4 linked regions of the Lytechinus pictus genome follow. The main gene of each other region encodes a partner of the protein of the gene in region 3 in a complex. Links are inferred from orthologs where the notes say so. Each region holds a gene or a part of one and is shown on either strand. Other genes may lie near its edges.

Region 1 (7,849 bases), on a different chromosome or scaffold from region 3:
AAAGGCTTGACCGCATTGGTCAGATCATGACAAGAGGATGCGCACTACTGTGTATCTATCAATAAGATCGCGCGTTGCATATCATGCACGCGTCAGCATTTAAGTGCGACTTTAGTCATACTTTGTGAAACACCCCCCTGGTCATGGATGTGTCTTTGGTGACTGTCCCTAACTCTACCCCCCCCTTCCAGATCAAACATATCTCTTGTCTTACCATTCCATCAAGATAAACATTTTGGTCATTTGTGTCATTCTCCATATCCTTGGCAAGCTGAAAGAAAACAAGAAAAAAGGTAAAGGTCATTATTCTGAAGTCTGGTTTAACTAAAACCATGGTTGAAGTTGGTGTTAAATTATGAAAAGCAAAAAATGTCAAGATTTTGTTTACATTGATTGCATCCTTTTTTATGTATACCGTGTTCTGTATCCATGCATGACTGGTAAAGAAAACTATTTACGATATTATTCTTACAGTTTTGAAAGGTAAAGTGCCAAATAAGCTGATAAATTCAAAACATTGGCCTTTTGTATACGTAGAGCATGATGAATTGCCAAAAAACATATGAAAGCGTGAAGATGAATACGTCATATCTGGAAAATATTTTGAACAAACATGCATTTTAGTTGTTGATGCTGCTGGCTTTCCATAGTTGTAGTTGAGTGTATCACTGCCAGTCTGCCAAAGCTGATTGATCAAATGATTCATAAAAAAATATTAAAGAAAAGGACTTTTCTGGCATCCAACGACCTATGTGACCAACGACCTTAATGTCAAGTGGAAATTGGGCCCTCTGTGCATTTAACTACACAAGAATTAGATTAGACTAAATGGTATTAGATAGTGTACTGTAAGACAAATAGCGATTCAATTTGATATTGGACCAAATGCATTCAGCCCATATGTTATAAGATTATCTGATAACAATAATAATATAGGATTTGTATAGCGCACGTATCCACCTTGCTAGGTGCTCAAGGCGCTCCTATATTACCCCGGTTAAACTGGTCTACCGATTCTGGTGCGCACAGCTTTTTGAGGAATTACTTGCTGCTGATACCCATTTACCTCACCTGGGTCGAGCACAGCACAATGTGGATAAATTTCTTGCTGAAGGAAAACACGCCATGGCTAGGATTCGAACCCACAACCCTCTGTTTGAAAGGCGAGAGTCAGAACCACTAGACCACGACGCGCCCACTCAGACCTAAGTGATTATGAACCCATAGACTACTCACAGATTTCAATGTTGAGACCTTAGCTGCTAGACCGAGTGTCATTCGGTCATTTTCGGCTTCAAGCATGTCCTCCGTACTCATTTTACCACCGTGGTTGTTTTGTCCACCTATTAAAAAAAAATAACAAGGAATTAATTCACACACAGGTCAATAGGGACGGGTAAAATCTTTTACAAGTTTGAAATGGACTGAAGTTGGCGACTAAAATCATGCGGACAAAAACGGATGAGTCCTAACAGTCCCAACAGAGAACAAGGTTTTATCATAACAGTTTAACCTTGTTATATCATAACCTTGTTCAATAAATAAGTGGGTTAAATCCAAGACTGAGTGATTAGCTTAAAAAGCCTCAGGCCCAATATTGAATTGCAAATTCAATCTACTTCTTCCTGATTTGGACAGACTGGGTAAATGGTCATTATCGTGAAATTGGGAACCACCGTTTACTTCGTACAGCAGCGCTTTATAGTTCAGTCACAACGCATGGTTCCCTATTTTCCACCTCCATTTACTTTGTACACACGTGCACATGCACAAATCAACGAGTGGTTCCAAAAACCATGATTTGGCCGGTAAATGACTTGAGTAATGAGTAGTGTCCAAATATTGGACGAAAAAGACTTCAACTACAGGGATCCACACTGGCGGGGGACTTGCATACATGTGATACATGTACTGTTGAACTGCACACACAATAGATCCAGGTTGCTGCTCAGAAAAGCTATTCCAGGGGTTAAGATTCTTATGACCCTCACTAATTTTTAACTCCAAAAGATCAATGACCAAAAAAAATCTTGTAAGGGGGAAGTGATTTTCGCAGGAAATATCGCCACCAATATGACACATATTCAATCTATCGCAAAAAGATCTGCAATGGCCATCGCGGGTTTCCACACGGCGGGAAATTCAACACCCTCCCAAATATCGGACATCTCGTCCGATTGCACTGGAAAGCGTGCTGTTCACACGCCCACGCTCGCATTTCAGAACGAAGCCACCCGGAGCTAAGCGAAGACGTCCGATATTTAGAGCCGAAAGAGGTCCATATGGAAAGTAAATAATTATCATTTACAGATTTCTACATCAAAATTATTAATAGAAATAATTCAAAATCGGCATTTGCGCAGCTGAAATAAAAAATGTTTTCTCAACAATCAAGCGATTATTTTGGGGTTTAGTCTTTAGGGCCTAGAGCGCAGTTTAAATTGCCAAAATTGATCGCGGCGCACAACTTTACACTTCTTGTATTTGGCCAAAAAAAAGCTTCTGGTAGTATAAGTGAATAATTTCCATTTAGGCCTACCACATTTTTTCAAAATTTGATTTTTACAAAAAAATAAAACTAGGCTACTAAAGTTTTCAACCACAAATAGACATGATTAATTTCATTTGATTCAATATTTCAATGATTAGGCCTATATTTTTGTTTTGGTCCAATCATGCTTAAGTGTCCTATATTTGAGCACTTTATTCTATAATTTGTTACATATGATATAGAAAAGAGTTGGAATGAGGAATCGATCTGTCAACGAGTGAGAAAACTGGTGTTGATTATGAAGAGTTTACAAACACAAAATTGTACGTGTGGGACACGTTGCAGTACTGTTTGAAGAGTTTCAAGAAAATAAAGGAAAGATTTCCATTAACTTATTTGTTAAGCAATAAAGTAAATAGAGTTGAATAAATCAGTCCAGTAATTTCAAAATATTTACCTGTTTTCTTCGATCCCCAGTCCCAGTCAGACATTATTTCAGGGAAAATAGTGAGTTAATTTCAAGCTGCCGATATTTGTGTTTACGTTTTCAATTCCACGTAGATTAGCACCGACCGCAACGTTGATTCAATGCCCAGTTTCTTTCTCACAAAAGTTAAAGGAGAATGAAACCCTTGAAATCAGCTGAATCCATATCAAAGAGATAAATCAAAGAAACACATTGTTGAAGGTTTGAGGAAGATTGAATGAATAATAAGAAAGTTATGAGCATTTGAATATTGAGATCACTAATGCCATGTAGATCCTCCCATTGGCAATGCGACCAAGATCTAGATGTCACTGATGAACAACTCTCCCCTTTTGGACACTGAAAATATACCCCAAAACATCTCTTTTTGCTCATTCTAATCATATGACAAACGATTCATCAATGATATAATGTTGTGAAACCTCTGTACTTGTCCTCTCATAAAGAGAACACCTCACCTTGTGACAGACTCTATAAAAGTGAGAATATAAGTGAAATATGTACTAAAGTAATGAGGGAGTTGTACGTGTGTGACATCACAGATCTTGGTCGCATTGCCAATGGGAGGATCTACATGGCATTAGTGATCTCAATATTCAAATGCTCATAACTTTCTTATTGTTCATTCAATCTTCCTCAAACTTTCAACAATGTGTTTCTTTGATTTTTCTCTTTGATATGGATTCAGCTGGTTTCAAGGGTTTCATTTTCCTTTAACTTTGATTCGAGAACTACGAAGCCTCAAACCGGACATTTTTGACAACCAAAAAAAAAAAATTATCACGTACGTACGTAGTATTATTACGTACGTACGTGATAATTATTACGTACGTACGCAGTATTATTGCGTACGTACGTGATAATTATTACGTACGTACGCAGTATTATCACGTACGTACGCAGTATTATTACGTACGTACGTGATAATTATTACGTACGTACGCAGTATTATTACGTACGTACGCAGTATTATTACGTACGTACGTAGTATTCTAATTTTCATTGGTCTATGGAATCCGATATTCGCCGAATGTGGCCGACATCGGCACCCCGCATTGGCCCAACCAACGTCAGCTTGCTAGCTGGGACCATGGTTGGACCATAGTCATGCTGGTGGTGATCAAGATTTTTAATCGATTATATAGGGCCTATATAACAGGGACCCCTTACAAAAATGTCCTGTGGTAATACCATATAATTACCATAGGACTGTACCACACGATTACCACATATATTGTTGTGTGGTAATGCTATGTCTTTATGTCCTGTGGTATTGTGTGGTAATGTGTGGTAATGTCGTGTGGTATTGTCCTGTGGTAAATTGGAACATTTACCACACAACATTACCACAGGAATACCACATGAATGGATTAATATATGGTAACATTTACCACACAAGGGATTAATTTATGGTAACAATTTTTACCACATACCATTTACCACATAGATTATCACACGACATTTACCACACCATTTACCACACACCAGTTACGACATGCATTACCACACACCATTTACCACACAAATTACCTCACATTTTACCGCACACCAGTTACCACACGCGTTACCACACATCATTTACCACACGAATTACCTCATATTTTACCACACGCCTTACCACACAAATTACCTCACATTTTACCACACACCGGTTACCACACGGGTTACCACACACAAATTACCTCATATTTTACCACATGCCTTACCACACAAATTACGTCACATTTTACCACACACCGGTTACCACATGCATTACTACACACGATTTACCACACACGTTACCACATACACTACCACACACCAGTTACGTAACTGGTGTGTGGTAATGCATGTGGTAACTGGTGTGTGGTAAAATATGAGGTAATTCGTGTGGTAAATGGTGTGTGGTAAACACTAACCAGTTACCACACATATTGTACATAATACACATAATACCATGCATCAGAGTCATTACCCAAAATGTGTGTGGTAACTAGATGTGTGATAACTGATGCATGATAATGTATGTTGCAACTGGTGTGTTGCAATGTGTGTGGTAACTGGTTAGATACATCACAGATCATGGGTATGATTTTGGTAGCAGTAGAATGTGTTCATGACCCTATGTACTTTTATAAGATTAAGAAAATACAACACCTTCAATGAACAGACAACAAATGATTTTACAAGTGATATAGAAAGTACTGGTATTTAGCTCATAGAGTCATCAATTTACAATACTGGTTTAGATTTGATATTGACAAAAATTGTGTAACAGCTGCTTTACTGTACAAACAGTGTAACATAATAGTAACTATCAAAGAAATTAGTTACAGTGCATATAAATACTTTTAAAACAGATACATTTCTTCTAAATACTTTAAAAAGTTACCTCAAAGGTTATCTGGCTTTTCAGCAAACCAAATTAACGACCATTGTAGTTTTTTTGCAGGTCACACATACAGAATGGACTGATTTACTCTTTGTTTTATGCTTAAAGACAAAAATGATTAAACTCTTAATCGTTTTTAAGAAAATGAACAAAACATAAGGATGTGTCTACAATAGGTAATATCATATAAGTAGCTGCGGCAAAGTGCACTGTACTCAAAATTGCGTATAACAAAATGCATAATTATCCCAAGTTTACTTCAAGGCTGAAGGGCAAGTAGAAATAGACGAGAGATGATAATATGTATTTGGAGAAAATGAAAACTAGGACAATACCCTGGCATGTAATATCTGAATTAAAGGAAAATAACACCCAAAACATAATATCACATGATATTATTGATAAATACAGGACAATCAACATGAATCCACTCATACCCTAATCCAATTACGGAGTACCACCTTTTCAAAGTTGGCCTCTTACAGTATGGTTCGAAGTTTCTGGATGGAGGTCGCCATTTTCGCGGGGTTAGTTAGGAAATTATTACATCAGCGACGAACTACATCTCTAAACGTTTAGGCATTATATATTCTATTTTATCAATAACAAATCAAATGTACAGATAAAACTCATAAAAATATTAGTTAAAATTTGTTTAATATATGGTAGGTTCAAAATACAATTTGATGAGTTTTAATGATAAGATTTACACCCCAATTTCCGCTGCCAATTTGTAAATCGTAGATTAGGGTGTAATTTTTATCATTAAAACTCATCAAGTCGTAATTTGAACCTATCATATAATATTAAACAAATTTTAATTAATATTTTATGAGTTTTATCTGTACATTTGATTTATTATCGATGAAATAGAATATTTAATGCCCAAACGTTTAGAGATGTAGTTCGTCGCTGACGGAATAATCCCCATCCATAGACTTTGTACCAGAAGATGCCAACTTTGAAAAGGTGGTACTCCATACTGGGACATCGGATTGGGGGTATATGAGTGGATTCATTTTCATTGTCCTGTATTTATCAATGGTATCATGTGGTATTATATTTTGGTTTTTATTTTCCTTTAAGATATTGTACTGGTTTATATCATGGCATTACAAAGTTCATCTGTAGTGCACACTGTGTCAAGTGCACAAACCTATTCATGGTTCCCACAGAAATTTGAAAACAGAATTCCATGACCTCTCCATGACTAAATTGCTGCTTTCCATGACTTAATTCCTTTCTGGCACAGTTTACAAAATCAGACATGTTATGATCATGAACACCAATTATAATAGTAGAGTATAATCACAGAGTATGAGAGTTGTGAGACATAAAAAACTAGAAAGCTGTCATAGCCAAGAGGTAAATGCAATTCCATGACTTTTCACATATCCCTGACTTTCCATGACCAATTTTTTTCCAGGATTTTCCATGACTGTGGGAACCCTGTAATAATACTGCATTGACAGAGCTCTATCATTTTTAAAGTTAATTTCAATTTCCTTCAAACATTTTATTCATCTCTTTTTGGTTGGACCTTGAATATAATACAATACAATGTTTTGGCAGGTCGTCTATAAAAGCATGTACATCGTTAAAAAAGGCTTTTAGCAGGAACTTTTGGCAAGTAGTCAACAGTATCAATGCATGTAAATTTGGGTGAAAGAATCATACATGTACATTAATTCTTAAGAAAAGTTTGTGGTTGTATTACACTATCACTTAAACGTATTAAAAAGACAGCAGTTGCAGCAAACAATTATTTCATGAGAAATTGTCAAAATATTGTACATAATCTCTAGATCTGGTACATTAATGTAAGCTTGTATTTTTGTAAAATCACTAATTTTGAACTTAAAATTAATTATTTTGATGATCACTAACACAGAAAAGAACATGTGGGACAGGACAGTGTATTATGATTGATTTGAAAAATACCTGACATTGGATAGAATTACATGCTTATTTTGCTCATTTCTCAGCAATTACACATTTTCTTCCCGAGCTATAATTAATTATGGCACATGTCTTTTATATTTTGCTGGTAATTCTATTGGGTTCTGTTTGAACTCATTTTAAGATTGTTACTACAACTGGTAATTTATCTTTAAAGTTGTACTTGTATATGATACGGGCTCAACATAATCTAAAATAAAGTAATTTTTACCATGCAAAATAGTGAAAATTTTATCAAAATCAGATAAAATTTAAAAAAAAATAATTACAAAAATATTGGTCATCAACACATGCAAGTAGATACATGTAAGTTTATGATATCATGCCCACATTTTTATTGTTCTCATGTTACCAGATAAAATAATAATTTACTTCATGTGTGTAATAAGTATGTCTTCCAATCCCATGTAGCAAAAGAACTTCCAGCAATAATCAATACAGGTAAGTCACATCAATACAGTTTACAATCCGATTTGTTTCATTCTTGGTAAACAAAATTAAATGCACAATTTTATATACAAAATAATAAGTTGGGGATACG
Region 2 (7,849 bases), on a different chromosome or scaffold from region 3:
AAGATAATCCCACAGACTCTATGAACCTACAAAGAGTTGATAAATGTATTTATTTTCATTCCGATATAATACAAATGGACTGAATATATATCTACAGTGTATGTGTTTTTCAGTGACCTCACTAAATCTTTAACTCCAGTTTACAAAGTTTCTATGGGTTCTTCTTTAGAATGAAAGATAGTCACATACTAAATGGAAAATTCCAGAGCCTGAATGTAGGCCCCAAAAGTCCTCCATACAATCAACAAACATGTACTATGTTCAGTTTTTATGATTATTTAATATACAATTGGCAAAAAATACTTCATATAATAAAATACTTTATATAATAAGGTACATTAACAGTAAATTAAGACATGTTCAGCTTGACATAATCTACTTGTTTGATTTGTCATGTGCAACTAAACATCTTAATATAACGACCCAAGAATTAAAAAAAGGGGGGAAATGAAGAAAGAATGTGTATTGACCTTTCACAGAATGATCCTTGACAGGAAAAACTGGAACACGCTCCAGACACGACGCAGCCATCTTCCTGGCTTCAAGATGCATTTCTTTGAGTGCTTTCAGGATGGTGGGAAAGATTGCATCTTTGGTTGTGGTCTGCTGGGCTCTGGCGACTATGTACTCCCAGGGAGTGATGACCTTAGACAGCATAGGCAGCGTGACCTTGATCAGATCATCGTCAAGAGGGGTCTTGGGGTCAAAGAACTGTAATATGAAGTCATCATGAATATTCATAAGATTGATGCATTGTTCAGTGAATACCATATGAGATTTTGAGAAAGAAGAAGTTCATTTCCTGATTATGAGATGAAAGGTCAAATCTATCAATCAGTTCTTTTACAACAGAATCATTAAAGGATTATAATGAGTAGAGTAAATGATGCTTATACCAGATCCGCAGAACATTTATTTCTGGGCCTATTTTTATAAAACTAATGTTTAGTAGATGATGTTACGATTCAATGAAAAAAATGACATTGACCAATCAAATGGCATCTTCAGTAACATTAAGCAGTACCTTTAACTTTATCATTCAATCAGGATTCTCATTTCATCTTTAATGATGAAAGGGATAGTGTTTGCAAAGTGCTAAAGCTAAACAGACATCCAGATGTATTATGATTTTGTTCCGATTGAACTTTTTGCTAACATTTAATGTAGATCTACAGGGCATTTGAATATCACACATAATTTCTTAATCAGTTGTTATTGAAAACTTACGAGACAAAGCAACAAATATTTCAAGACTTTATTGTAATTAATCAATTAGTAACAAAAAGCAGAATAAACTTTCAAAAACAGATTGAACAATCATATTACTTGCATTTCATAGAAAATCTTAAAATACTTTAAGCCCTATTTTGATACCATCATCACACCTTACGGAAATTAAAGTAAGTTAATTCAACATCCTGTATTAAAATGGTACCGTATTAAAAAAAAATCCCCTGTAGTATAATTTCCAGTCACCTTTGAAGTTGATGCTTCTGCCTTTGGAACATCTTTGCTGTTTGAGGTTATCACTGATGCATCGCCACTCTGATCAACGACCTTACGACCCGACCCTGGGGGTCTTCCTCTACCCCGCCCCCTTGGTTTATAAGGATAGTGGTAGGTAATTATAGCTGGTTTCGGCCGTTCTGGTTCTGGTTCTGCTTGTTTGTTTTCTTGGGATGTCTCTTCTGAAGAACTTGGCTTATCATCTTCGGGCTTGGGACTGGGAGATTGGTTCCCATTAGGTTTCTCGGCTGCCTCACTCGGGGATTCAGCTGCCTCGTTTGTCTCGGCTGCCTCACTCGGGATTTCAGCTGCCTCGTTTGGTGTCTCCTCCTTTGTTCTACAAGAAAATAAATATAAAACGAATTAAAAATACACCTTTGTTTTCATTATTTTTTCTCAACTGAACTCTTGCTTTGAGAATTATATGATGGTAAAAGTTGAAAAAATAAAAGGCTTTTTGAATAAAAAATTTGAAAGGTGAAATCAAGAAAAATTTCACAAATTCAAATAATAACCCCCCCCTCCTCTCTTTTCCTAGAACTGATGATTTAAACTTTAAAACAAGTTATGTTGTACAATGTACAGAGACTATTTAAAAAAAAAAAGACTCCTACTCTTTGTCACTTTGTTTCTCATCAGTCTCCATCTCCATCTGTGGGTCTTCATCTTCCGTCTTTGCAAACACGGCATCAGGATCTCCATGTGTCTGGTTGTCTCTGTAGTGTCTGGCCAGTCCGCCTCTTCCAATGTACCGCTTCTCACAGTTCTGGCATTTATACCTCCTCTTCTGATCATAGAAGCTAAGTGTCGAGGTTGCATTTTCACCATCATCATAATCCGAGTATTCTCCATCAGAGGAACCTGGCTGGTCTCCCATCTCTTCATTGGACATGGTTTTGTACTCCTTGATTCTATACAGTGGAGGCCTGGACACTCGTCCAGATCGAGTCTTGCAGTTGGCCGGTCTCTTCTGTCTCATGAGATGCAAGTCCTGCGAGGACGGCACTGCTGGAGCCATTCCCTTGGCCGCTGCTTTTCCACCACCTCGACCAACTTTTTTCTTTACTCCCAAGACTATGGCTGGCTTAGGACTCGGAGAGGATTTGACCGATGTTGAAGTGGGTGAAAAAGTTGTTTTTGTGGTTGTTGGAGTGCTATTACTGGGGAGCCTGTTGGACAGGATGGTACCGGGTGGGAAAGTTCTGACGGGTGTTTGCTGCTTGTTAGTTGCATTAGTTACTACTTTCATCATCGGAATAGTGCTTCCCTGTTTCTGACTTGTGGACAAGATGGGAGCAGAAACTGGAGTCGTGGTTGAAACTGGAACTTTAATAAGAGCTGGAGCCTTAGCTGGTGTTGAAGATGAAGCAGGTGGAGGAGCTGGGGCTGGAGTTGGTTTTGATGACTGGGTGGTCACAGTGGCTGGAGCATCTGGAACGCGAACAATGGTGATTGGTTGACCAGGATTCTTTGCCAAGAGGGCCTGCACTTCTGGGGTATTCACAATATTCGATATAAGCGTTTGGCTGAGAGCCCCTGTCCCTGGAGGGGTTCGAACAGTGATTGTTACCGGTGAAGGGGTTGAAGGTGCTACTCTCAGAGTTGGAACGCTTGTGATTGGAGCCGTCTGTTGCTGTGAGATGGCTTGAATGAGGCCAGGGGTATTCAGCAGAGATGTTCCAAGGCCAATATTACTAGAAGCAGAACCTGTCAACAAACTATTTCCATTCACAAGTAATGATGTATTTTGAGCTGATCTTGCCAAATTCAAAGATATTGGATTGGCCGCAGGTGCAGCTACTACAGAAGTGGGAGTGGTTCCTACAGCTGATGCAGAAGCAGTTTCCAGGATGTTTAATGCATCTTTATTTTTTGAGTTTTCGGTGAGAGAACAATCGCTGCCTGAATCGATCATGGTTGCAATGGACCCAAGTAAAGAACTTGCTGCAATATCTGATAAGACATTATTCGATGATGAAGACATGGCTGAATCATGATCCCCAGAAAGAGCAGAAGATTCGGTGTCAATTTTGGAAGATTCAGAATCAATTTGGCCAGTCAAACAATCAGCTTGTGATTCAATTGATCCATCAATCAGCCCATTGTCATTAGATGACGTGCTGTCAGCAATCAACATTTGATTCTGATCTCCAACGACGGGGAATCCATCTCCTGGTTCGGCTTCAGGAATGACAGTTTCAGAAACTTGTTTATCATCATGATCATCTTCTTCTAACAAGCCGCTACCCGCGGCTCCATCGGTGTTTGCGTCTGTCTCTCCTGCCGCGGCAGAGAAATTTATTTCATCTTCCTGTCCAGATTCATCCATCTTTGAGAGAGCCTCGGACAAAAGATCGGGTGTTTTTCCTTCCTTTGTTCCTGGAGAGCTTTTACCGATAAAGCCTTGCTGTTTTACATTATCCTGTGTGTCGGAATCGGGATCAGAATGGGTTATTTCTCCAATAATTGCATCCTCCGCGTCCGCCATGTCAAAGCTGCCCTCAACAAAAGTAAACCCTGCGAGATATATATATAAAGGAGACCCTGCGCAGTCGTTCTCAGTTAATTAAGAAGTTATTGTACCAAGAAGTACCGTAGCGTCTGAAATAGAATAGTATAAAACGACTGGTAATAGTCTAGGCACTTGATTGAGGTCACCTGATTGTGTTGTATTCATTAACGTTGTAAAAAGTTACGGATCGGGAGTCGGAGAGTTACACTTGGTCGGACTGAGGAGAAAGGATCATATTCTTCTGGATCTGTGTTAAATAAAACGTCCAAAATGTCATCGGAGCGATTTGAAAGGATTGAAGATGACTATAGAACTCTCTGCGACACAGTCAAGTACAAACTTGAAGCAAGAATTCCGAATTCATCTGGTGGTAAGTCACACACACACCCATCCACATTCATTTGAATTTTGATTGACTGAAAATGTGAAATGAATGATTTTGAATGACTGTCTTTTTTGTGAGTTAGAAGTTAGCATTGTTTGTAACAGACACTGGTGACTGAAGTCTATCTAACGTTAGACTAATCTAACTTTAAACTTAAGAATTGTATTGATCGACGTCCACTTAAGTTGAACTTGAAGTTGAAATTTTATTTCAGCTTTGCATGATCATGATGATGTAAACCAATTCATTAAGGAGTTGGATTTCTAAATTAATATTAATGCTTTCTCTCAAAGAACCTGTAATGGGGTGACCATAATTTGCGCACATTTCAGAAGTGATCCTGAAGTTGATTTTCAATCAAAAATATCTCACAGTTCACCCAAAATTAATCAAAATCATAAAAACTAAACAAGCCAATATCCCAAAGTCAAAATTCACTTGAAGTAGGTCAAGGGTTTTGCTGGTAGATCTAAAAATTCCATGGCGATCGACTAGTGCGCTCGGCTGAAAAGTTTCATAAAAAGTGTGACCTTAATTTGCGCAGGATCAGGATCATTTTGCAAAGCTTTAGAAAAGAAATCAAGCAGACAAAGGTAAAATAATTGTATCAGATGGAGGTTAAAATGCGATAGATTAGGTTGGTATCACATTTTACTTCCTTATTTTGGAGACTTTTGCTCACAAACTGGCGATTTCTTGTAACTTATCGAGAAGGTCAGATTTTCTCGGAGCAGACGCAAAAGGTAACAAAATTTGACAATGTTTTGCCAATATTTTCACAAATTGAGACCTTACCTTCAAGAAAATTACAATACTGAGGAGACTCTAATATGTTAATGTAATTTGGGTCGCTTTTTTCTTTTGGAGATATCAGTTTTTCAAGATATTAATTAGATATTGAGATATTCGACCGTGCGCAAAATTAGGTAACGCGCAAATTAAGGTCACACCACCATACCTGTTCTATGTTCAAGTTAATTTTTTAGTTTCGTTATTCATTCTTGTATTTTTTACTAGGCTGTTTCTCTGTAATACCTGTTAATTAAGCAGAGGCAGAACATAGATGCCAAATTGAAGTAGGATGTTGTGTCATCAACAAACATTGACAGAGTTTCATTAATTAATAAAGATGGACATTAGTCTAGACTCTTAACGTATGTGAAGGGCCGGAGGGGAGATTTTTCTTTCTTTTTATACTCTTCATACTTTATGCTGTTGAGCTTTTTCTACCTAAATTTTTGCTTTTCTCTCTTAGTCTTACTGTATGTCACTATTTGCAAAACCAATGTAGGAGCATTTGGGGTATTTGTTCAGATTTCAGATTGGCATGGGTAGAGCTAGACAGCTGGCAGCCGTCTGTTTTGAGGAGTTTTTTAACATTTTTTTATTTTTTAAATTTCTCCTCGTACACAGACGGCTCGCTATCGTGCAGCCACCATTAGGGGACTTGCAATGCAAAATCCCCCCGTAGGGGCTCTTCAATTTTTGTCTTTAATGAATAAAAATTTTGAAAATTAATGCGACCAAAATGCAAATTAATATTCCCTCCTGGCATTAAATGCCAAAAAACAGAGAAAAATCAACTTAAAAGGAACAAAAACAGTGACTTACCTCGGCTGTCGCGCAAATTCACTTCCCCGTTTTATCCGATCTTAAGTACATAAACATATGGCCATTGAGTCCCCTGTACAGATCGCGCTAGAACTTCAGTCTCTGTATTTGGTGAGTGAAGCCAACGGAGTTCAGCTGAACAATAACAGAGACCGAAGCTTTTGGTCTAGGGTAGAGCATGCATGGACATAGAAAATTTTCATCTGGATTGTACATGTTCAGGGACCTTTTCCAAATGTGATTTGAATATGTTGACAGTTTGACTGTTCTCTGTAATACCTGTTAAGCAGAGGCAAAAACATAGATGCCAAATTGAAGTAGGATGCTGTGTCATCAACAAACATTGACAGAGTTTCATTAATTGATAAAGATGGACATTAATCTAGACTCTAACAGTCAGTCCGCAAGCCCCTGTGTTAATGAGCAAATGAGCAAGATTTATCCAAGTCCTCTCGTGGCTGAATTCATGTCCCTGCAAAATCTCGTGAATTGTGAGACTTTCTATCTCAAAGAATTTAACCACTTTCTCCTTGAGTAATATTGATTATTTTTGTACCATGGGCAAGAGTAAATGTTACCCTTTTATATTGGTCATTTCTTTTGAATGAAATATTTTGATAAATAAGTGAATTTTTTACCTGAAAAGATGCATCAAACATAATTTTCTTCCTCTGTTTTCACTTGCAAATTGTGCAACATTTTGTGTTTTAGGCACCAACATTATTTATATCATCAGAAAGCTCAAACTCTATACTTTCTTACAATGTCACTCTTGATATGTGGCATCTTTTAGATGGGTCAGCAGCCAGTTATTTCCATCAAGATGTAAGACGAGATTTCTGAAATTTCTGAGTAACATAAAATCCAGAGTTCTGATTGGCTGAATACTGTTTTCAAAACAAACAGGCGCGGGTAATTTGAAGAGATTACCACATGGTGAGTGTGACCTTGCAGAGGCCCAGTGTGGGGAACATTGGAATTTGCGTGGGTGTGTGGTCTATGACCAATCAGAGCGCAGTATTCTTGTTTTTGAGCTGCAAAATGTACTTGGCCTATGAAAAGCTGGCTGCTGACCCATCTAAAACACATCTTCTTATAAAAATTATATCATATTAAAGCTTAGATCTTCAGCTTTATCATGATTTAAAAATCATTTGTGCCTAAACAGAAATTAAGTGTGAAAACAACAACTTTTGTTGCATGAAAAAAAATATTTTGTTTCATTTTTTAGATCCAAATTTTTCCCTATATTACAACATTCTTTTAAAAATCCAAACACATGACCTAAAAGAATGATTCTTCTTCTTTACAAAGATACCAAAAACATGAAATTTGGTCAATATTTAGAGCAGCAATGGCCGAATAAAAAGAGGTGTTTTGGTTCGCACCAAGCTCATTAACTATGCAAAAACCCTCTTGTCATGAATATCACTTGGATAAAAGAAGCTACTTTTTCAGGGCTTGCGGACTGACTGCTAATGTATGTGAAGGGTCGGAGGGGAGATTTTTCTTTCTTTTCATACTCTTCATACTTTATGCTTTTTAGCAAACTTAAGCTTTTTCTACCTAAATTTTTGCTTTTCTCTCTTAGTCTTACTGTATGTCACTATTTGCAAAACCAATGTAGAAGCATTTGGGGTAAATGAACTTGAATCATTTTGCATGTTGTTATAAATATCAACACAAAAATTCAACCATTTGTTCAGATTTTGAATTTTCAAGATGATTCTCAAAGTATAAGTGCATGTTCCATGAAACTATTGTCAAATGGATAAATATAATTTCAGGTCACTTGGCAATATCATTTGGAGTAGTGCTATCAACTTAAAAAAATA
Region 3 (7,776 bases):
ATATTGATTGATTTGATATCTAACTCTTTAAATTAATTTCCTTCGTGATACCAACCTGCTCTCAAATCTTACCTCTATTCTTTGTTTACATATGGCAGTCTCTGCTTTGATTTTCACATTGATATTGTCTAGAATCTCCATGGTCTTGCAATTACTCCTCAGCTCCTGAAATAAAAAGAATAATTATAATGGTGGCACAACATTTGCTCCTGTGAAAATTGCTCCGGGCTTAATTTCGTCTAAGATGCAACTGCAAGGTTAGAGTTGCAATAGGATTTTATGTTAGGTTTAGGGTAGGGTAAAGTGTTAAGCCCAGGGTTGAATTTGGTCTATCGATTTTTTAAGGAGGTCTGATTCTGTTTCTGAGGAATAGAGTAGAAAATGATCCAAAAACATTTAAGATTATTCATGGCCAGGGTATAGACCCTATATGAATTCCACTTGGACTGTACAGAGTTCGGCACTAATGCAGTTTTGCACCGGCCAACATGTTTTTCGCCAAGGCTACAGCACGCATATCGCAATATGTGTGCTGTAGCCTTGGAAAAAAACAAAGAAAACAAGATGGCGACATAAACATTGTGGCAAGTTTTCCCCGTCTTTTCATATTTTTCTCATTTTTTAAATGAATTCTTGTTCAAAAATGATATCAATATCGTAGAAATGTCGGAAATGAAGTTGTATCCCATTTACATGATTTAGGGCTAGATCTTTTAGAAGGAAAGTAGAAATCTAAGGGCAAAAGTTTCATTTTTTTCGCGGTACACGCACATGAATGAGACGCAATCCCTGACTCAGTGGAGAGTAAGCATACGTTAGTACATTGTTTTTACTCTCTAGGAGCCTCCTGGCAAGCTAGGCCTACCTAGCCAGGAGGCTCCTGGAGATTAATGTCATATCACTGACGTGCTTAATCTCCACGGAGCCAGGGACGGGATGCCATTGCTCTACGCGCACCAAGTATTTTGGAGACAATAATGTTGTTCCAAAATACTTGTTTCTTTAGGCTTTTGAGCCCAAACTTATGGAAATGGGCTACAATATCATTTGAATCCTGTTGGCGCAAAATAGTTATATCTTTAACTAATATTACACATATATAATGAATCAAAATATTAAAAGTAGAGGAGCGTTTACTCAGTCTGTTATTGTAGCCACCTTGCCGTCTTTGTTATCGTAGCCTAGCTACAAGAAGCGTATAGAGGGCGAAAATATCATGAGCAGTGCTAACTTAGATTTAAAAAATACTTGTAAATTGTATTGGCCGATAAATATCATGTATCTTTAAGATAAGATTCATGTTTACATTTGCTGCAAAAGGATTACCTTGGCGGCAAATAAAAATATGACAAGCAGATTCCTCATGAAAAATTACCCCTTTTCACCGTCTACTTTAAAAAATTCAGTCTACTGTTGTTTTGATGAGGATTTTTGTTGTCATCCACACACAAAACAAATTGGCTTCTGACCTCAGACTCAGGGAGACAAAATTTTGGGTGGAAAAATTACACGTTTTGGTGGTGTTTCGTTTGTTCTTTTGAAAAGCAAGTCTGCAATATCATATTGAATATGGAAGATTGTCTTTCATATTGGAGAGAGTCTCCAATATTGGCCGTGCGCCAGCTCTAGTACTAAAGTACTGTAGGCCTACTGGTTGTCGTGAACTATTCACCTGTCCTTGTCCAGCATCATCGACCGGACAGGCCCAATTAGAAGCTTCAAAATCTCAACAAACTGCGGTTCTCCACCGATCTCCACACCTCGGAGGAAGGGAATCTAAGTTACAAGTATGGCAATGTATCCTATTGCCGGACAACTTTATTTCAGTGCTTTAAAAATGACAACTAGAGGAAATACAATCAAGAAAAATTTGCACAAAAATGCTATTCCAAATATTATGAAAATTATGCATATGATGAAATTATTTTATATTTACCAACTGTTTTCTTTGCATCGCACTTGCCGCATACCCCTCCACGAAAAACAATTATTTATGCGACAAATTACATCATGATTCCGGACGTGTGTACGTAGGACCAAGCCTGCGTAGGATGGGTAAAGATATTCTGGAAAGAATTCCATATGCACCCCCACCAAAAATAACAAAAGATTGTTGAGACTTCCGGTTCGTTCACTTCAGATTTTTCTATCATTTTTTTTACTGCTGCTTACCTTAGTAGGGACTCGAACTCACCTCGTTTTATCTGCAGTCAAGACCTCTTCCCGCTATGCTGGCGAGAAGTGCTGATACCGGAAGGGGTATTTTAATGATTATCAGCCAATAGTTCAACTAGTCTTGACTCACAGACCCTTTACTGACTAAATAAACCAATGATGTCTATGGACAATTACACACACTAGATCCTGCTCGAAATTTGACAGAATAAACCAAAAATTTGGTATGTATTTCCACTCCCCCATCATATATGTTCTATATTAGGGCTAGATATATTATTCTGAACCTTCTCCATGTTTTTATTTTCAATTTTACTTTTTTAGTGAGGGGTGCATATGGAACTCTTGTCAGTATTCTTGATTAGAATGATGTAAGAAAGAATTTGTGTGATTTTTTCTTCATATATCATATCATGAGTAAATTCTTAGTTTTTGTTTGCTTTTTTTATATCGAATCTGAGCAGATGTTGGTAATAAATTTGCGTTTGCTAACTAATTTGATTTTTTTTGTTCTTTTTAACTGCATGGCACTTTCCGATATTATGCTTGTTCGTATTGTGACACTCATCAAGTTCTATCGATGCACATCATGCACTGTCGATCGTCGGTAAACCTCGCACACGGGTACCTTGAGAACTAGCTAGCCATCGAAGATCACCCACAATACACCACACCACAATTCGATCGAAGGAGCGGACAAGATTGAAATTCAGCAAATCATGCCCATATTTCCACCAGAAAATATATCAATTGTTAATGCAAAACTTTGACATATGATATTTTAAGCATTTTCTGTCATTTAATTTAAAAGATAATATTTGATTTTTTCGCCATTAATGTTTTTGGCTTTTTTGCAATCTTGTTCTCAATCTAACTTACTTATATTATAACTTAATTCTAACATTAACAAATCAAAATCAAATGTCAATTGCTCTGTGAAATTGAACTGCGTAAATCTTGCGGGACGAAATTGTTTTCGTACACAGTAATATGCGCGTCCAGAATCATAATAGTGCAGTGTCCGGTAATACAATACCTGACTCTACTACAAGACTGTAACACTAACATACATAGACACGCATAATTAACGTGAGTAGTGACATTGTCAATTCTTCGGAGAGTTACTAGCGCAGAGCTGGGTATGTGGGACTGTTTAAAAAACAGTCGCACAGAATCGCATAGCAATATTATAAACTTAATTGTACGATGTAGAAAATTAGGGATAAAATATAATTTTCATCAAATAATCGTAGAAATCAACGATTGATTTTAGTACGTGAACTTACCTGAGCATATGAATTGATCTGTAAGTCATGTTTGACGATTTCCTGAACGCAAGTTCTAATTCTCACAGCGTCTAAAGCCATCTTGACAAATTTGTCAATACAAATTGGCAGCATTGAAATCGTAAGATCTGAAAGTGAAATAAGAAATAAAAATCACCTTTAAAATAAAAAAACCCAATTTAGTATTAAAAAAATACAAAATTTGCATATTTATATTTTTTACTATTCTACAATGGAATAAAAAAAGTAACAATCAGTAAATGAAAAAAAAATATTGGCATTGATTGCCAAATTTCTTGTAAAGTACACGTATGATGTTAACACGTCGGCGACCTCATTAATCGGTTCAGCTCAGCTCAGGCAGCTGCTAGCAAGAACGAAGAAAATTATGCGGAATTTCTTAGGGATAGATCGAGGTGTTTTGTGTCAAATGATAAATCATCTGCTAAATGTTGGTTGAAGTTATCTGTTTAAATGGCTCGGTACGTATAGTAATAGAGAAATGAATGATCTTGAGATGAGAGTAGTAACGTTAGACTGAGTCTGAGACTGAGATTCTATCGGCTGCGAGCGCGAGCTGAGGCTTTTGCACTTACTTACGGCCGCTGCGCGGCTGGGGACCGGGGCCGGGGCGGGCTAACTCCAGCCCGAGTCCAGGAGCTCCATCGCATTGATTTAGCCATGGCCTAGCTAGGCCTTAGCCAGGCGGCTTCTTGAGAGTTAAAATCATTTACTAACGTAGGCTTACTCTAAATGAAGCCAGGGAGTCCTTCCATAGGCGGCGGAAGCGTGGGGGACGTGTCCCCCCTAAATTTTAGGTGGGGGGACGGACCCCCCCTAAAATAATTTTTTGTTGATACGGTAGGCCCTAGGCTAGGCCTAACCTTTTTTTTTTTTTTTTTTTTTTTTTTGCTTGTCAATTTTTTTTCCTAAGTCCCCCTAAAATTTTGCTTCCGCCGCCAATGAGTCCTTCCTATTCATCTGCGTGTACCGCAAAAAACCCTGAAACTTTCGCCCCCGAGATTTCTACTTTCCTTCTAAAACATCTAGCCATAAATCATGTATAAAACTTCATTTCCGACATTTCTACGCTCTCGTTATTTTTAAACAAGAATTCATCAACGAAATGAGAAAAATATTGTGAAAAGACGGAAGAGACTTGCCCGATGTTTACGCCGCCATCTTGTTTCTTATTGTACTTCCCCAACGTTACGCGACGCTCGCCCCCATTTGCTCAAATAAATAGAATGTAACCATCGGGCACACTCATCTTGACCATTTTTCCTTCTGTAATCTAGCACTTGAACTTTAGTTAATTCAAGTAACTCTGGGGAACGGGGATGGATGATTTAATTCCTGAGGAGCAAGCACTGCTTGTGAATAAGAATTTTTTGGAAATTGTGATGTGTGAAGCATTTCAAGACAAGACCAAAAAAGAGAGATTACATTGTAAAAGCAAGATGAGGTGTGGGAGATGTGCATACAGGATGACAGCAAAGGATGATTGTGAAGCATGCATGAAGTGATGGTGAAAGCCAAGAAGCAGATGAGAATAAGTTTTAAGGGTGATTGGTCCATGGGTGCAAAGAAATGGATTACTGAGCATTAGCATACAAGTGGTGTTAAAATGAGAAATAGCAGTATAGACATTAGTGAGAAAGTTGACATTAAATGCTTATTTCTGGACAAGTTTTATATCTAATACAAATTTAAATATTCAAAGCCCCCAATTCTATTAAAATGTTATATTGTGCAATATGTCTTCAATCCCCTCCCTTTAAAAAAATTGGGGGATCACCTCATTTAATCTAATTAAAAATCACTCAGGCTACATGAAATCTTTTGAATTAACAAACATTGTATTCCATGTTCTACCTTGACAAATTACATTTTGTGCGTTATTTATCAAAATCCCTCAATGAAGATGACTGGATTTCTCTTCAACGACACACCCGTGGACTGTCTAAGAAGATTTTGTAGGATGCTTGGCATAACCCTGTAAGTGAGAGCTCTGATCGGATCGGATGATCGGGGGCACATACTTATCCCTATGATCGGTATCGGTCGAAAATATCGGCAGCAAATATCGGATTTTGCTATTTGTTTATCAAGCACAATAAACAGACCCATATTGTCCTTAGCTGACCTGATTGTCCTTAGCTGACCCCATGCATTCCAAGCACTACTCACATATCGTATTCATCCCTTGGGAGTCTGGGTCTCACTGTCAAGCGAGGCAGTGATTTACGATAGTTCTATGCCGACATAACCCAGCTGGTTGGTATCACTACCAGCGTTAGAATGGATCCCCGCCCTAACAGCACTTAAATGCCGTGCACTTATAATGTTGTTAATACGTCATCGCAAGCCAACGCCTGGCTGTCCACTAGAGAGAGGGAGAGGGAGGGGGAGAGGGAGCATCGGAGCTCATGTAATAAATACGCCAACGCAGACACTTTCCCCAATCCGATCCGCACAGAGAGTTAGAGAGAAGGTGAGAGAGAAGGGGACGGAGGGAGTTATGAAAAAAAAGAGAGTAGAGAGTAAACCTCGTGGAATGATGCCAACTTTCATCTGAGGGTATTTAAAATTTGATCAGTTCTGACGGAAAATGTAAGAAAGGTCTGATTTTTTTTGGTATGAAGTCGTTGTTTCTTGTTGGTTGTTTCGTTGTTGCTTTTTTTTGTTAATCATGAAAATAGGAATTAAATGTTGAAGTAACAGCCTCGGTGTCATATAATCATCAATGAAAATACCATATAGAGAATATTTCAGAGATAATTGGTAATTTACCATCACTCAGAAACGTTCTCGAATTGTTTTTCTCCTCTCTTCCACTCTGCTTCATTCAAGTTATCTTGAATCAACTAAGTTCTCTCGTTCTCTTTTAACAACTCATTCATGAAGTATTATTTGAGACTGACACACAGGTGGAGCATTTCACTTGAAAAAAATTCATTCCTTGCCCACACCATGTCCCCACCCCCACTTGTGGCACTGCCCACGATGCTACACATGTATTTCAAAAAAAATATTTTGCAAAATATTTCATTTGAAATACCTTTCAAAATTACAAATTTTTATCATTTGAACCTACATGTATAACTGGGTCTATTTTTTTAGACTAACCAAGAAAGTACTGATGAAGGCGGCGCGTGTTGGAATGTCTTTTGATTGTGTGAGGGGGATATAAAAAAGGTTGCATTGTTTGAAATTTGAAAGGAATTCTCCGGCTCACACCCCCTACCTTTCTCTCTCTCTCTCTCTCCCTCATGGGGGAGGGGTCAATTTATTTCTGAAGTCACGACCTTTCCTGATAAGGGAACCACGTGGCTTTTTCTGTTTCCCCGAAGGTTTCATTGGCTTTCGAAGCCGAAGGTCCAATCAGCTCAAGTGAGATGGTTGTGTGTTTACTTTCTGTTTTGAGCACGCAGACAATGACTTATTTTGTGTATCGAGGGCAAGATCGAGTGGGATTAACATTTTCGGAGCTCTTTCGTGTTGTTGTGTAACTGTGAATGTGATACAATCATTGCTAATTTTTCAAAAATTACCTCGGTAGCATCATTTTTAAACCTGTATCAAGTATAAAAAAACTGTTGTCATCATTGTTTTCTTGTCATTTTGTTATTATTACTTGGGTATCTGAGCTATAATCCCAACGTCATAATCGGGATCTGCCGAACATTCACTTTAGTGTAAATTTTGCTGATTGATTGGCGGGCACGCCATTTAAACCATTCGACCAATCAATGTGTACTCCCATGCAGGCCTAAAAGTTATATTAACACAAGCGAAAATAAAAGGCAAGAGAAAGCAAATGACCGAAATTAACATTGGAGTTTTCACGCTTTGCGAGATTGGTTGCTTCTTTTCCCAACTTTGCTAACAGATCACATGTGTGGATGTTTGTGTGTGAAAATGTGGGATGATGGAAAAAATCAGGGGAGAAAAAACTCTTCATTCTGACCCTCTGACATGTGGCACCGTAAGTTGGAGCTAGCTCGTAAATTTTGGCGAAGCCCTGTCCTCCCTGCTTGGAATTGACCAATGAGAATTGTTCCCTCTAATTTCCATTCACGGTACTCGATGCTGATTGGATTTATCATCTGACAAGATCTCCTTCATACAGTATGTATCAAGTTGTTTACAAAACCACTGGAGCGTAATGCCCACCAGTCGATTAGGGGGATTTTCTCAAGTGGATGTTTCCAAAATATCCAAGTTGTCAATGAAGGAGATGTGGGTAGGAAAGGGTGTTCATATTTGTTAGGGACGCACCATTAGAGATATCCAGGGAAGGGGGCTGGAAGTT
Region 4 (8,402 bases), on a different chromosome or scaffold from region 3:
TTAGGGTGCTTCTCAAGACCCCGTGGTCGCGCATGGTATATCCACTCGTCAATGGAAGTGCCCCCCCCCCGGGCTTGCAGACTGACTGATTTTATTCCTCCCGAACATGTGGAACTACCATTGTTATAACATTTTGTGGTTCAATAAAGCTGGTGGGTGTTTCATAAAGCTGTTCGTAAGTTAAGAACGACTTTAAGAACGACTGGTGATCCTTTCTTGTGGTAAATGGTATATTCATTGGCGACGGTTTAGCGCATAAGAAAGGATCACCAGTCGTTCTTAAAGTCGCTCTTATCTTACGAACAGCTTTATGAAACACCCGCCTGGTCTTTAATTATTATTGAAATATTGTCTATAATTCAAACAATAAAAAAACAAAAGAAATAGTGAGGTGCATCATTGGCTCTCACATTTGCATATCACTGAGTTGTGCATATAACTGTTTTGTGAAAAATAATTAAGCGAAACTTTAAAATGTCATAACTTTCTTTTTTTACGGCAACCGATTTCGATGAAATTTTCAGCATCGACGGTGCTTGTTTGATTTTTATCTGTTTATTCAAATCATGATCTTTCTGGGGTGGACTTGACCTTTAAGGATATAACCACAAATTCCTGATAATTAAGTGCATGGCCTCTGGGATAGTTGTCCCCACCACTTGTCATAATACTCAGTTGCCATGTTGCAATTAGAAATTTACATACTTTTACTAACTTTGAGATCTCGGTTCTTTTTGCTTTGTCTGATTTATTTCTTTCTGTTGTACTTATTTTTCTCTCTCTCACAAAATGTTTTGACCAAGGGTATAGATTCCCTTAAAATCTGAAGAGAAAAAAAATCACTGCTATTGTGTCCAACTTCATAGGAACATTTAGCCAAGTTCAACTCCGGGGTTAAATTATCCAGGTTATATACCAGTACCAATGAAATCTATCGATTTGGAAGAGCAAATCACAACTGTGAAAATATAGTGGACTAGTTGCCCATAATGAAAAGGGTGATTATTGAGCCCAAGACTGGCAGTGGTTTATAGTGGGCTGAAGATGCCTATTGAACCACCGTTTGGAATGCTATATACTCCGGGATGCTACTGTTGATATACATGTACAAAGGTTAAACAAATGAACAAAGAAACTTTAGTTATCATTTTGAGATCCCTTCCTCTGCACTTTGTGTCATTTATCACCCCCAGGTTTTGTGACATTTCTTGAAATTTTTCATGGGGGGGGGGTCTAGCTGCTCCCGGAAGAGAATTATATGACAAATGTAGATATTAACAAATTAACAGCGTCAAATGGGACCTGAGAATGCTTGGACTTTAGACTCAAAATTTAATTTAAATGTTCATCAATAAACGACAAGGCAGCAGTTTATTTGCTAGGTTTTAAGTGTCAGTGGGTATATTGTCCTTTTCTCTTGGACAATGATATAACAACCATTACTCCTCTCATCTAAACGGGCGGATCTGAATCATACAAACCTCCCTTTTGTGCCCGTAGTGCCTCCACCTGTTCAAAATGATGAATTGTAAAATAAACACTTGAATTTCAGAAAAGACATCCTGAAATAACAAAGTATGAACATTATCTACCATTGTTCTTTCTTGTGTTCTTTTATTAAATAATTAGAGATGTCATTGTATGACTATCATTGTCATGATTATCTCGGCTGCGCTGACATACCGGGGATCGGATGACATCCATTCCCGGATCCGTTTCACATCACATCTTCAACGCCCAAATTAAAACAGCACGCGCGCGATCACGAGATTCGGGGAATGGAAGTTGAGATTTGAGTATACCAGTCGAGAACGTAACCCGCTTATTCATTGTAAGTAAGAACAAACTGATTGCACTATGTCAATCAGAATTTACTATCGTCTCGGCTTTCTGTAGTTTCCATCTTTGGTACTGAGTTGAGTTTCATTATGTAAATGAAGATCAATTAAGATAAACTGGCCAGCTTGAATTGAGGGCTTGTTTGTGACTGTTTCTATACGTACCGTAACTGACATTGCTTTACAGGGGCATGACGGGGGAACTCCCCGCGAGGTAAGCAATCCATGCCCGTGGCATGGGGCGTTGCAAGAAAACCACCACAGTTGCGGGCCAAAAAGAGTGCACACGCCCTTGCCCTTATTCTAGAGTAGTCCTTGTTTGAATCTTGGTTGACTTTAATACTCTTTGATTCTCTTTTCAATCGGGGAGGGAGGGAGAGGTAAGAAACTAGGGCCAAGTGGAAACTTGAGTCAGTGACTCACTCACTGAGTGCAGTACTGCTTTTGTTTGAAATCGTTTACTGGTACATTTGGTACCGTATTCCTGACAATTCTTGGACGGGTAAAGGTTTTTGATAACTTCGTGATCTCAATGTAGATGATCATTATATTTACCTTGCCAAGTGCTAAAGAATATTCTTGCATTGATTTCATTTCATTTCATGACCTGCCGACGTCGGTCCCCTTTAGCTTTCGCCCTTTTAGTTTTTGGACAGTACCTTTAAATGGCCGGACAGCTGGCAAAACACGCACGCGCGCTCATTATGGACACTATTATTTTATGAAGTGCGACGAGCCGACGATGGAGCTAGCTAGGGTCTTAGACCAAAAGGTTCGGTCTCTGTTATGTTGGTTGTTCCACTGAACTCCGGTGGCCGTTGGCTCCACTCACCAAATACAGAGACCGAAGTTCTAGCTCGATCTGTACAGGGACTCAATGCCATATGTTTATGTATTAGTTCGGTAAACAAGGGAAGTGGGAGTTGCGCGACAGCCGATGTAAGTCGCTGTTTTTTCCTCTTTTAAGTTTATTTTCCTGTTTTGGTGCATTTCAGGCCAAAACAGAAAAATAATCTTTATTTTGGCACAGTTCTTTTCATATATTTTTATGAAATAAAGACAAAAATCGATGAGCCCCATCGGGGGACTTTGCATTCTTAACCCTCTAATGGTGGCTGCATGATGGTGAGCCGTCTGTGTACGAGGAGAAATAAAAAAAATTAAAATTGTAAAAAAAAATCCTCGAAACAGACGGCTACCAGCTGTCTAGGGTCTTCTTTGTTTTTAATTGAAATAAAGGGGTGGGTGAGCTTATTAATTGTTTGCTTTAGTTTTATTTAAATTATGATCTTAGTGATTCAAATTATAAAGGGGGGGCTTCATTGTTTGTTTTTATTTCATTTCTTATTGAATAAATTATTCATAGTGATTGAAGGGGGGGGGGGCTCTTTTTTGTTTTATTTATGATAATTTTTATTCTTAGTGATTAATGATAAAAGGGGAGAAACATGGCTTGTTAAATCCGTATTTTTTTTTTTTTAAATCTCATTCTTATAGAGATTGAATTCAATAATAGCATTGCTTTATTCTTTGTTGCTTTTTATCTTAATTTTTATTTCTATATTGTGATTGGAATGATAAAAGGACGAGGTGGGGCTTCTTGGTTGTTTATTTGTTTTCTAAATTATTTTTATTTAAGTGATTAAAATGGTAAAGGGGAGGGTAGGCATTTTTTTTTTTTAGTGATTAAAATGGTTAATGATTTTTATTTTTAGTGGTTAAAATGGTTGGTATAAGGGATGGTAGACAGGTCATTTTTTTACCGTTTTATTTATTTAAATTTTTATTCTTAGTGATTAAAATAACTTGAATTTATTAAATTAATTCTTTGTATTAAAATCATGAAGCCAAAATACAATACATTTATAGTTCTTTATTTACTTTTGTTTTGCTTATTTATTTTTGGATGAAGTCAAAATATTAATATACTACCATCATTTTTAATGTATGATATAGTGAATTAATTCTTTATTACAATACTGTTACAGAGCAAAAATGTCCATCAGGCGGATAAATTAATCCCTATTTTTTGTGGGGTGGGGGCATTTATGGTTTGGATTATGCCCATCCCCACTAAAACTGTATTTAATACATACATGTGCATCTGTAGTTTGCTGTTGGCGAGCTCTTCAATCTGGTCAATTCCAAGTTCCAGATTTTCATAGACATCATCATCATGTTACAAAGTGAGGTAATCCTTTTGACCTTGATCATGTTGATCACTTCATCTGGTGGAACAGTGGAAGTGAATGGATTTGCTGTATTCTTGTTTAGGTCTCATATCCTCGGTGTAGTAGACTCGTCTGACCTACAGCCTCAGGTCAAATAGTGAAGTGCGATAATTATTAATTACAGTACTTCCACCATCATTGTCTTTGTAGGATATGCAAACTACTTTGAATAAAGAAGACAATGAGAAGCCCAATTTTAATGCATTTAAAGAATCTTTTAGATTCCCTAGTACCGGTAATAATAATAACAAGAGAGAGGGAGAGATCAGTGATAAATATTATTCAAATTTTTGGGTTTTTTCACATAATTCAGGATGAATTTAAAATCTGCATTTCTTTCCAATAATATTGCTAGATCTGATATTTGCTTGTTTAGTTTCAGGCTTCTTTGCATCGTTCTTCATTCTCTTTAATATTTCTTACATTGTAGTAAAATGTGTTGTTATTTGTTAGAGTACTGTGCAAGAATATGTGCATGCTCGTCTTTTATTAAGATTGGATCAACCACTACTGGTATACTGTTTTTGGTATTCTCATTTTGAGTCTGTCTTAAAGCACCAGTCCACAGCCAGTAGCTAGATGCACAGAGAAATATGCAAGACAATTTCCAATATTGGCAACTTTTTGCAAAAAGGAAAGATAATTTCATTGAAATAAACAAAGTCAACAACAAGGTAATTTTTCATTCATTCCACCTGCTTGTAGGCTAAAGGAGAAAAGATGTTCTGTGGACTTTGCTTGACATTTATTGGGGATCTGTATTTCAAAACATGGTACAGTTTTACAGCTGAAGATAAGACCCAAATGTGAATAGTCATCATGCAGCCATATTTTGTAACAAATTTTATGAAGGATACAGTCGCTTTTTGATGCGGGCATCTCGTGTCAAGTAACAGTTAAAAAAAATAAAGGTTCTTTAAATTACATGTATTTGAAGACTTATGATATTGCACAGTGCAATTGAATACCTCTATCTCAAGTATATGAAACATTTGGATACCAGCAAAATTTCATGTGATCATTAATTCCTCTCAAGAATTAATGACCCAGGTGTTATTAGTTTGCTGCAAAAGTTATTTGTATGTAGTTTCACAGAGCTTTCATAGTGGACAAAGAAGCAACCCATTCAGTTTGTGATATGCTGGGTTGCTGTGCTGGTGTTAACCATTTTAAACCTCAGGGGTGAATACAAATCAATCTCTGTGGAATTATTTCATCCTGTTTTAGTTGATATGTGTAATTAAGAAAAAAGAAATGGCTCCAATTCCTATTCAGAAGCGTTCATATCTCTCCTACCTTTCAGAGTCCCCGGTTGATGGTCTTGATCACATCTACAGGAGACCATCTGACGGAGACAAGATGCCTATACTTTATGCAGTCATCGCTCGTGGCACCACGGTGCTTGCAAACTATGCAGCTTGCCAGGGAAACTTCACTGAGGTGACAGAGCAAGTACTGATGAAGATTCCTCCACAGAATGCCAAGTTGACGTACTCACATGGAGCATACCTCTTTCATTACGTCTCAGAGGAGAGGATTATATATATGTGCATCACAGATGATGTAAGTAGTACCCATTCAATATGAGAACCACTTGGTTTAGTTCCCATAGCCATAACCATAACCCATGTCCAAGAAGTTCAAGTTGTAGTTGGTCCCAAGATCTTGTTTTCTCAAGATGTCATACTCGTTTCTGAATCAACTTGACAAACTATTACATGTGACTGTTGAGTGATGACTTTGAGAGAAAATCTGTAATGTTTAGGTTAATTGTTACCACAACATAATGTAGGTTAATTGTTACAACATTGTTCAAACTTTTATTATTGTATCAATAAGAGTTCTGATACAAGCCAATATGAAATATTTAACCACCCTTTATTCTGAAGATGGCTAGCACATAACACTTTAGTGATAAAGAAGAAGCTCTGTCATTTGTAGAATACCATGTTTATTTTCTATCATGGTAATGATTTGGAACATTACATTCCTTGTAATTAAATATTTATTCTGAGAGTTTGTATAATGATTAAAATATTGATATATCACACAGTAAAATAAAAAAATATATAAATGCAGAAAATGGATTTGTGTGATTTTGTGTAGTAGTAGGATGATAAAATGCTGCTAAATTACCCTGAAAAGAAAATAAAAAGATTTATTTTGTATTATATACTTTTTATGGTTCAAATGATCATTTATTAATTGGTCATTGAATATTTTTCTTCTTTCCAGGACTATGAAAGGTCAAGAGCATTTGCATTTCTCCAGGAGATCAAAAAGAAGTGAGGGCTTGTTTCAAATATTATTTGCCTTTTTATAGAAAAATGTATTTTATGGACTTTATATCACATGACATGGAAGAGCTGATCACATGTGAGGTTACAAAGTCTGAACGTTGAATATCCCTATATTAATCGATATTTGCCAACCCTTCATTCATATGCTGCAATTACTTCTTGTTTGTTATTCAAACCCAATTCGGCATTAGAGAAATTCCCCCTATTGAAAAAAATAATTCTAAACTGTACTTGTAGTTTCTATAGCACAAGTCAGGCAATTGTTAACTTTTTTAAATGTACATTAGCGTCTTCACTGATTGAGATCAACAGTAAGCAAGAAATTCCTTTTGTAATTTGTAATACTTGAGTGGCTCAAGTTGGGCAAGACACTATTACCAACCATACATACTGTATATAGTTTGTGGGATTAAGAATGTGTTTAATACATGTACATGTATCAATCAGTAGCACACATGATATGATGTCTCTATGTGCCTTAAAGGACTAGGACATTATTACCCCAGTTTAAGAGCATGCAAGCTTTTTAAGGGGCTAATTCCTGCATGTAATTTGATATGAATACCCCCTTATTTTCTATAATTAAGACAATTGTGCCATAACTGTGATACCAATGAAATAAATATGATTAATGCATGATAAAGACACTCTCCAAAGTCCCAATACACCATTAAATAATTTGTAACATATTTTTTACTTGTGTAATGTATTGACTTTACCTTCAGTATAAGCTTCTTTCAAAATAGAAACTGAAACCAGATATCTTCAATATCATGATTTTTTTTAATGTCATTATTCCAACTTACAGATTCACAGCCACTTATGGGTCCAGAGTACACACAGCGCTTCCTTTTGCAATGAACAGTGAATTCTCTCGAGTATTAGCTGCACAAATTGTAAGTCTAGAAGTAAAAACTTGTCAACAATAGCAATTTGAAAATATTCAGTCTCGGTCAAAAGAGCAAAGAATGTAGGCTGGTCCCTAAAATATTTACATAGATAGTTGAAAGAACAAGAAATAAATGAAGAGATGCAAAGGAAAAAAAAGGCATTGAGTATGATGTTTGATTTAGGTATGAATGCAGATTGAAGATATCTTATAACAAAATAAGATATTATGAAGACATTGTCATTTTGACTGAATACCCTAGAGTGGAATTGCCCAAGTGGTAGTTTTACTTTCTGTTCATAAATTATCTAATTCTATCATTCAATTCTAAGAAATATATTTGATCCTATACAACCTGTAATATAATTTTGCATTGATCGACTGTTTATATTGTGTGGACTGTTTTAACTCTAGAGACTGCATTTATAGTTTGTTTAGAAGTGATAAGAGGGGGCATTGTCTAGATCATTTCTGATAATCATCCACTTGTGATTTTATGAATCTGTATAGTAGTGTAGCTGGTTTTTTATTAAAATGAAATCCAAGTTTAATGGGTCTATCACCAAGCCACCTGTACTTATTTGAATTTTCAATTGATAATGTAAAAATAAAAAATCATGAAAATGATCTAAAGGGATTAGAATGGTTTTAAATTTGATATTAATTGTATAAGCTAGTGCATCAAATCTGCAATATGGCAGGAAGCATGTCAGGGGTATATAGTTTTTATTTGATTTTATTCTATTTATTGTTTCACATTCCACAAAAACATCTTTATTAAATGAAAAAATAATGAAAATTACATTCACTTATTTACAAAGTAATAAGAATCTCATGAAAATGAAGAACGTATTAAAATCATAACTTGTAAAATATAGGTTCCCAATATATGCATTCATACATGTATCTCTAATTTTAGAATCTACAGTCTAATAATATTCGGTTGAAATATCAAAATGCATAAAACGGTTATTGTTGAGAATGTTATTTTGAACAACAGGATTCATTTGCTAAATTGACATATAATTTAACAAACATTTTATTTATTATTAGGATTTATCAGAGCTTAAATAATGCAGAATATAGATCAATTTATTACATTCTTTGACAGGGGAGATTGGGGTTATATTGAACATTTTGACCA

What was found.
Region 1: vesicle transport protein SEC20-like (region 3) and BET1-like protein share a complex: the UniProt entries of both Homo sapiens proteins name them as parts of the SNARE complex. The link is inferred for Lytechinus pictus from reciprocal best matches to the Homo sapiens genes BNIP1 and BET1L.
Region 2: vesicle transport protein SEC20-like (region 3) and vesicle transport through interaction with t-SNAREs homolog 1B-like share a complex: the UniProt entries of both Homo sapiens proteins name them as parts of the SNARE complex. The link is inferred for Lytechinus pictus from reciprocal best matches to the Homo sapiens genes BNIP1 and VTI1B.
Region 4: vesicle transport protein SEC20-like (region 3) and vesicle-associated membrane protein 7-like share a complex: the UniProt entries of both Homo sapiens proteins name them as parts of the SNARE complex. The link is inferred for Lytechinus pictus from reciprocal best matches to the Homo sapiens genes BNIP1 and VAMP7.

What each region holds. Positions count from the first base shown.
Region 1 is NC_087250.1:19,732,668-19,740,516, reverse strand, and holds the start of BET1-like protein, read right to left. Parts: upstream 3,073-7,849; 5' UTR 2,983-3,072; coding exon 2,949-2,982; intron 1,344-2,948; coding exon 1,237-1,343; intron 272-1,236; coding exon 215-271; intron 1-214. UniProt on the Homo sapiens protein: Vesicle SNARE required for targeting and fusion of retrograde transport vesicles with the Golgi complex. Required for the integrity of the Golgi complex.
Region 2 is NC_087251.1:45,500,175-45,508,023, reverse strand, and holds the start of vesicle transport through interaction with t-SNAREs homolog 1B-like, read left to right. Parts: upstream 1-4,288; coding exon 4,289-4,388; intron 4,389-7,849. Other genes in the region: mucin-2-like, read right to left, coding at 471-711, 1,477-1,843, 2,121-3,994. UniProt on the Homo sapiens protein: V-SNARE that mediates vesicle transport pathways through interactions with t-SNAREs on the target membrane. These interactions are proposed to mediate aspects of the specificity of vesicle trafficking and to promote fusion of the lipid bilayers.
Region 3 is NC_087256.1:1,387,503-1,395,278, reverse strand, and holds the start of vesicle transport protein SEC20-like, read right to left. Parts: upstream 3,569-7,776; 5' UTR 3,543-3,568; coding exon 3,462-3,542; intron 166-3,461; coding exon 73-165; intron 1-72. Other genes in the region: ectonucleoside triphosphate diphosphohydrolase 4-like, read left to right, coding at 3,936-3,943. UniProt on the Homo sapiens protein: As part of a SNARE complex may be involved in endoplasmic reticulum membranes fusion and be required for the maintenance of endoplasmic reticulum organization. Also plays a role in apoptosis.
Region 4 is NW_026974140.1:15,218,126-15,226,527, forward strand, and holds the start of vesicle-associated membrane protein 7-like, read left to right. Parts: upstream 1-5,234; 5' UTR 5,235-5,323; coding exon 5,324-5,632; intron 5,633-6,304; coding exon 6,305-6,354; intron 6,355-7,177; coding exon 7,178-7,265; intron 7,266-8,402. UniProt on the Homo sapiens protein: Involved in the targeting and/or fusion of transport vesicles to their target membrane during transport of proteins from the early endosome to the lysosome. Required for heterotypic fusion of late endosomes with lysosomes and homotypic lysosomal fusion.